Linked DNA regions of Notamacropus eugenii. The protein of the gene in region 2 purifies or fractionates together with the protein of the main gene of each other region. This does not show direct contact. Links are inferred from orthologs where the notes say so. Each region holds a gene or a part of one and is shown on either strand. Other genes may lie near its edges.

Region 1 (3,747 bases), about 43 Mb from region 2:
TCCAGGCTTCCTCGACTGAAAAAGGAGGAGTTCTTCCCTCCTTTTCCTCTTGGGGAGGCTAGCGCTTTAAATGCTAGAAGAGGTTCTACCAGGGAGCAAAGCTGTTACTGGGTTAGGAGTCCGGTCACCCCCAGCTCGGGTGGCGGGGGGTCGGGGAACCTGACCCCACCCCTTAGGAATGGAACAGAATGTCTCCCCAGGGTGGGGGTGGGTGAGGACGCCAGGTCGGTCAGCCGCCTCTTCGGGGCTTCGGGGACACTTCTGCCTCCCAAGGGTCCCGAAAAGCACGTGAGGAGGCGTGGCAGGGCCAAGGCCAGGGGATAGGTCAAGACCGTCTGCCGGGGCGGCGGCGGCGGACCGGACGCTCGGCTGGAGCCTCTTCCCTTCCTCTCGGCTTCTTCCGTCCCCTCGCGCTCCCCGTGACGTCACAGACCCCGCCCCAGCTCTTCTACACCCTTTGTCACCCCCCCCCCCCCAAACGCTCAGCACTCCCCCCCAGACTGAGTGGCAGCGTCGGCTGGAACGCGTTCCTTCCGAGGGAGGGCGGGTGGAGGAAGGAAGACGAGGAACCTCGAGCTCAGCCCCGGCGTCGCCTCAGCCCGGCCCCTCTTCGCCGAGCCGAGCCGAGCAGGGCAGCGGGGGGCTGGCCGGAGCCCGAGAAGCCGGAGGAGAGGGCGGGCGCGGTGGGAGCGATCTCGGCGTCCCGCTCTCTCCTCGGCTCATGGCGAGGACTCTCGGCACATCCGGGACCCTGGGGCCGCCGCGGCCGCGGCTCCGGCTGCTCCGTCCCCAGCGCCAGCCCCGGCCCGGGCCTCAGTCCCAGCCCCGGCCCCAGCCCCGGCCGCTCTGGTGACTCCGCCGCGCCTTCGCTCCGCCCGTCCGCCCCCGGCTCACCAGCCGCGCGCTCGGATACTGGGAGACGCCCGGCCCGGCGCCCCGCGCCCCGCGCCCAGGCCCTGGACGAGTCGCCGCCGCCGAGGCCGAGGCCATGTCTAACCCCGGGGGCCGGAGGAACGGGCCCGTCAAGCTGCGCCTGACAGGTGAGGGCAGGGCCATGGGCCGGCGGGGATCCCGGGGGCAGCCCGGCTCGAGGCGGGCCGGACCGGGCCGAGGGGACCGCGGTCTCCCGCTGTGGTCCCAGGAGTTGCGGCCCGGCCCGGCTCGCGAGGAGGTGTCGGCACCGGGGTCGGAAGGCCTCGGGCCAAGGCCGATCCAGAGTCGCCGCTTTCAGAACTCTCGCAGCCCCTCAGCCACCTCTGTTCTTTTGTTGGGGGACTGGGAGTGAGAGAGAATGTGTGCGCGCGCGTGTTTAGTGAGTTTGTGAGTGTGAGAATGCGTGAATGCTAGTGTGCGTGTGTGCGTACGCGTGTAGAGGGGAGGTCAGGTTTTGAACTCGACTTACTCGGAGTTGGAAGTCCTCGGAGCTCCAGAGCTGGGCTCTCTCTAGACTCCTCTCAGCACTGGCCCTCCCAGGTTCTGTCCCTTGAAGCCCCAGGCTGCGGTGCCGCCCGCCTCGTGCCCCGCAGAGCTTGAATGCAGTGCCCCTGCGCTGGGGATAGGGTGCACCCCCTGGGAGCACGAAAGCTTCTGGGGATGTTTGCTGAAGCACCCCTGGGTTATTCAGGTGACTCCCTGCTGCCAGTCCAGGGTAGCCTGGAAGCCGTGTTTGTATACATCGCAAGGCTTTGTTGCTCATGGAGGAATTGTGTAGACGGACCACCGGCCCCCCGCCACCTTTTCTTCAATCTTACACTTTTTTATTGCCCGAAATCAGAATAATCAAGCTCATTCAACATATTCTGCGTTTTGACAGTGTTAATGGTAACCTAGCCTTTAGAAAATGCTTATTTTTGTGAGCTCAGAGAAGCCGTGTGTGTGTAAATCAAGAACTTGTAAACTCAGGACTCCTGGGAAAAGAAAACTCTGATATCAGGAAAGCGTTTTCCCCCCATGACTTTGGCTAAAGTTTGCCAACTTGAAAAAATAAACCAAAAAATGGCTCTTCTTGAGCTTAAAAAAGAAGTATATTGTTTCATAATTTACCTATCAGGTGTGCTAAATACTGATATGACATCGTAAACAAATTTTGATTTTTGTTTTGAAGATATGTCAAAATGAGTCAGTTACCCTGCCCTTGGGGAAAAAATTCCAGGTTGCTAAAGTTTATCTGAATAACTACTGAGAAAACCCAGTTTTATTAAAATAGGTGTTTTAGGTATAGTTTGATCAGTGATAAAAGTTGATATTCTGATTTGAAGTGATTAAAATTTTTGTCACAGAATTTTTTTTGGCTCTTCCCCCTAAACCTACCACTTTCTCTTGAGGGCATCATGATTCTTCCTATCACCATGGTGGTCATTCCTAACCTTACTGTCATTCTTAACCCTTGACTCTTGTTACAAAGAAATTGTCCATATTTAATCAGTTGCCAATTCTTACACGAATCTATCCCCTTGTCACTTCTTATCCCACAACCACCCTGGGTCCAGGGCTTGTAACCTCTTGCCTGGACTGTTGCAGTAGCTCCTAATTGGTCTTTAGGCCTCCAGTCTCTATGCTCTAAAATTGATCCTCCACACAGTTGTGAAGTCTGACTGCACTTCTTTGCTCAAAAAGTTTTAGTGACTCCTCATCACTGCCTTTAGGATAAAGTACAGATTACCCTGTTTGGCATTTAAAGTCCTGGCTCCAGCCTATCTTTTCAGACTGATTACACATTACTCCCTTTCCTGAACTCTACACTCTAGCTAGTAGTATGGGCTGTTTGCTGTTCTTGGTGCAGGCCATTATATATCCTTCCTGTCCTCCCTTCCTGCTCTCCCTTCTAGTCTCTGCTCCATGGATGCTCTACCTGCATTCAAAGCTCAGCTCAGGTGCCATTTCTTTCAGGAGGCCTTCTTTCATGTCTGTTGGTCATTGTGTATTTATTTTGCATATATCCTGTACTTATACATTGACTGTGTAAGGTCCTTGAGTTGGTTGGTAGCATTTTTATATTTGCATTCTCAGAGTTTGTTGCAATGTGTAACACATAATAAATAGGCACTTAAATGCTTGTTGGCTGATAGAAGAAAAAGCTATACCTGTTGACTTTGTTATTATGTGGATTTGGTAATTAAGCAATTGCTATCACTTTCAGAGTCCATGGGCATAACCTCTGAGATTAAAAACTCTGAGGTTAATTTGGTTGATAAATGTGGGAGATTTATTTTAGATTGAATGTATGCTGGCTCTACCTTTTCAAGTCCGTGTCTATGATGATATTAAGCATACGAATTATGACTCCAGATGAGCAATAGGTATCAAAAGTAGGATTTTTGCTACTTATTTTTATTAAATCTGTCCCTAAATGGAGAAAATGAAAGTATGAACAGATTTGCAGCAAATAAAAAGAAGTTGAGTTTTCCACATAAGCCATTAGATTCTTAAAATGTGTCCAGTGTTTTGGATTTTTTTTTTTTTGGTGCCAGTGGTTTTAAGGTGCTTCCTTTCTATGTGTAAAATTTAATAAAGCACTGAGCAGTGTAGGTTTCTCAGAAAGATTGTAATCTTAAGGAAAGACCTTCTTTAGTGCACCAGACTAAACTTCATTAAATGTAAATTAATTATATGTAATATAATAATTGAATTCATGTATTTTCAGATTTTGATAAATTTCAAGATACAATGTTATCTTTATTGCCATTGATTATAAGGTAGTGTTAGGAAGCCTGATTTGTGTGGTTTACTCTTGAAATTTGATAATTT
Region 2 (3,747 bases):
CAAAATGATTCTAGCTAATCTAGAGCATAGAAAATATACATTTGAGAGATGGAACACATCAGAGGCAGTGTGTTGTAGGGCAAAGAGTACTGACCTTAAGAGACAGAGGAATTGGATTCAAATCCTAGCTCTGCCACTTCTATTTGGACCTGTGATCTTGGCCAAGTCATTTATTTCTCTGGGTCTCTGTTTGCTCAGTTGGAAAATAAGGGAATTGGACTAATTTATTTCTAAGCCCTCTTCTAGCTTTTAAGTCTATAACTTGATGAAAATTCAGTTTAGTCTGACTTCATCAGCTTAATCTTAAAAATAAGATGTAAATATATATATATGTATGTATGATTTTTAGTATTCCATAGAAACCCTTTCACATTGAGGAATGGCTCTTAATCTTGTATCAGTTCCTTATATATCTTGGATATGGAACTTTACCAGAGAAACTTATTAAACAGATTTTCCCCCAAGTTCTTTATTCCCTTCTAATTTTTAGTACATTGGATTTATGTCTACCAAAATTTTGAAATTTTACAGAATCAAAATGATTCTTTTTATCTTGAATAATTCTATCTGTTGTTTGTCCATTTACCCAAATAAACTCAGATTTCTTTTGAGAATGGGGATTTTCTCTTTATCATCATGCTGGGAACTCCCAAGTTATAGTTAGCAATTATATCTTCAAGTTATAATTGATTATTTTGTCATTGTTTTACTCATGAACTCTTTCCCTATCCATAGGTCTGAAAGGCAGTTTCTTCCTTGCTCCTCTAATGTGCGTATTATGTGTATATCTAAGTCATATATCCATTTGGAGCTCATGCTGGTGTATAGTACGAGGTGCTGGTCTAAATCTAAATTCTGCCCGATTCTTGTCTGGTTTTCCTATCAGTTTTTGTCAACAAATTCCTCCCCCAATATTTCTTAGAAATAAATCTACTTCTCAGATAGGAAAATGACAGGTCTAATCTGACATCTTTGGAGGAAAAAATGAATTTCAGTGGACTGACCATGTTGTGTTATCATTAACATCAACATTGCTGCCTGTTCTTCACCACTGACTTGTATCCCCTTTCTGTTCCAGGTGGAAAACATCATTGGATTTGGGTTCAACATGTCACAACATTCAGGCTGACAGTCAAGGCATCATTGGACAATCCTGCCTGTCCCCATCACCTCATTGTCAGGCTGGATGACGCCAAACACCCAGAACAACTCCCTGAGGACCACTTCACAGCATGACCACTTAGCCTCCTGACTGGAAGGCCCCGCCACCCCCCCCTGCCCTGTTCCCACCTCCCACCCCAGGTGGTGAGGGAGTGAAATTTCAGAGCAGTGGGGGGGGGGGGGGGGTGGCAGCAGTGGAGGTGGGGGGAAGGGGTGGGTGGGCTGGGGGGAATCGATTTCAGCTCCAGGTTGAAACATTTTCCCAGAACAGTTCTGCAAAATGACAAGCCTGTTCCGCAGGAGCGGCAGCAATGGTGGGTCCCGGGGTGGGGGGAGCGCCTCGGCCCAGGAACTCAATAACAGCCGGCCTGCTCGGCAAGTCCGGCGCCTGGAGTTCAACCAGGCCATGGAGGACTTCAAGACCATGTTCCCTAACATGGACTATGACATCATTGAGTGTGTGCTGCGTGCCAACAATGGCGCCGTTGATGCCACCATCGACCAATTGCTGCAGATGAATCTGGATGGGAGCAGCTATGATGATAGCTCTGACTCGGATGGCAGCATCCCCCCCGAGGTGAGGGGGTACCCTGTGCACCTTAGCAGGCCACACTAGCTCTGCTTTACAAAAAGAAGAAAACACACCCATGTCAGTGTAGTGTGTAGACATCTAGACTCAAGAGACCTGGGTTCAAATCTTGACTCTGAAGCTTATTAGCTGTGTGTCCATGGGGGAGCCAACCTTCTCAGCCTCTGTTTCCTCATCTGTAAAATGGGGCTAGTGCTTGTGTTCCTCACAAGGCTATTGTGAGGAAAGCTTATCATTATTATTTATTTAACATTTATTAATATATTTTATATTTATATATTTAATATTTTATGTAATATTTATATAGCATATAGTAACAAATTTATTGTTTATCAGTTATATATTATAAATTCATGTATTATATATAACATATTTATATGATATATTTATTAATTTGTATATTATATTATATATTTATAGCTTTCTATTTATATACAGCATATTTATTTATTATTACTTTATTTTAAACTTAAATATGTAATTATTATTATTTTTTAAAAATACATGAAGCAAAAATCATATACCTCTCCATCAGGGTCCCACCTTTTCATACTGTATGTCAACTAAGGGGTCAGTAACATACTGTGCACAGAGACCCCTGCTTGAAAAATGCATAGTCTATAAAGAAGTAAGATAAGATACATAGATGTGGGAAACAATTCCAGGGTACAAAGAATGTCTAAATGAATGAAAATGAATGTAGTCTCTTGTCCTCCTCACCCTTTTCAGTCATTTGCTGAGTCCTTCAGCTTTTCCTTCGAAGTATCTCTGGCACCTGATCCCATACCTGTCTTTTCCATTCCTCCTGTTACCACTCAAATTCGGGTCCCTATTAGCTTGTGCCTGGACTGTGATGATCACTTCTAGCTGGTTCCATCTCTATAATCTCTCTCCTTCTTCCTATCTTCTCTATGTGCAGTTTTCCTTAAAACACCTCCATCTCTGCTCCAAAGTTTTCAACAGCTCCCTCTTGCTCATAGAATAAAGTTAGTTCGACATTCAAGGCCTGTTGCAATCAATTCCCGGCTTATTTTTCCTGCCTTATCTCTCACTTTTCCCTATTTAATCCATCTACTCTGGCCAAATTGGTTCATCTACTATCCCCTTTCATCTTTTCTCTCTTTCTCATTCATCCTTTTTCCCTTAAAAACACATATAACCATAATCTAGACTTATCAAAATTCTATTAATTTCTCCTGGTTTAGTTCAAAGGTCACCTCCTTCTGGCCCATGGTACTATGTCCTTCTTCTGAAACCCCATGCCTCTTGCTGGCTGGACTGCTCATATACTGCCTGCCTACCTCCCAACTATTGCCTTCTGCAATGGCTATTTATTTGGAGTCTTATCTCCTCAATTAGATCATAAACTAAACTATACCCATTGGTGTAGTGGAGAGATGGCTAGATTGGGAGGCAGAGGACCTGAGTTCCGTTTCTGTTTTAGGCACCTATTTCTTATCCCTCTAGCTTTGAATGAGGCACTTCCATTCTCTGGGACTCAATTTTCTCCCCTGTAAGATGAGGTTGGTTGGATTAGGTGATCCCTAATGTCCCTTCCAGTGTTGAGTCTATGACCCTAAGCTTCTGGTGGACGAGAACTATGTAGTACCCATTTTTGGAGGTCTTTTTTTGCTTTGCTCTGCCCAGAGAGAACAAAAGCTGCCTGGAGTCCCTTTCCCAGCTTCCCTAAGAACACCCTTGCTTGCTATCAAAAATCCCCCCCTGTCAGTTTAGAGGGGGCCACATCACAGACTTACAAATCTCAAACAGAGAGGGACCCAACATGTCATCCAGCCCAACACCCTCATTTTAAAGATGAGAAAACTGAGGCCCAGGCATGTTAATAACTTGTTCAAGATCACACAAGTGGTAAGCATTATAGGTGGGATTTGAACCCATGTCCCTCTACCTCAAAGTCAGAAGCCCACTATTCTTTCTGCAGGTGTGTGCGCATGGGAGCTTGTGTGGGCACGCCAGTGTGTGCGTGTGTGTGTGTG

Evidence for each region. The genes of interacting proteins can lie anywhere in the genome.
Region 1: the proteins of CUEDC1 (region 2) and SMURF2 purify together in Homo sapiens (co-immunoprecipitation; 3 studies listed by BioGRID and IntAct, with this or other methods). This does not show direct contact. The link is inferred for Notamacropus eugenii from reciprocal best matches to the Homo sapiens genes CUEDC1 and SMURF2.

Annotation. Positions count from the first base shown.
Region 1 is NC_092873.1:327,717,171-327,720,917, reverse strand, and holds the start of SMURF2 (E3 ubiquitin-protein ligase SMURF2), read left to right. Parts: upstream 1-853; 5' UTR 854-988; coding exon 989-1,040; intron 1,041-3,747. UniProt on the Homo sapiens protein: E3 ubiquitin-protein ligase which accepts ubiquitin from an E2 ubiquitin-conjugating enzyme in the form of a thioester and then directly transfers the ubiquitin to targeted substrates.
Region 2 is NC_092873.1:370,219,306-370,223,052, reverse strand, and holds the start of CUEDC1 (CUE domain-containing protein 1), read left to right. Parts: upstream 1-1,386; 5' UTR 1,387-1,441; coding exon 1,442-1,738; intron 1,739-3,747. Other genes in the region: uncharacterized protein, read left to right, coding at 1,079-1,190.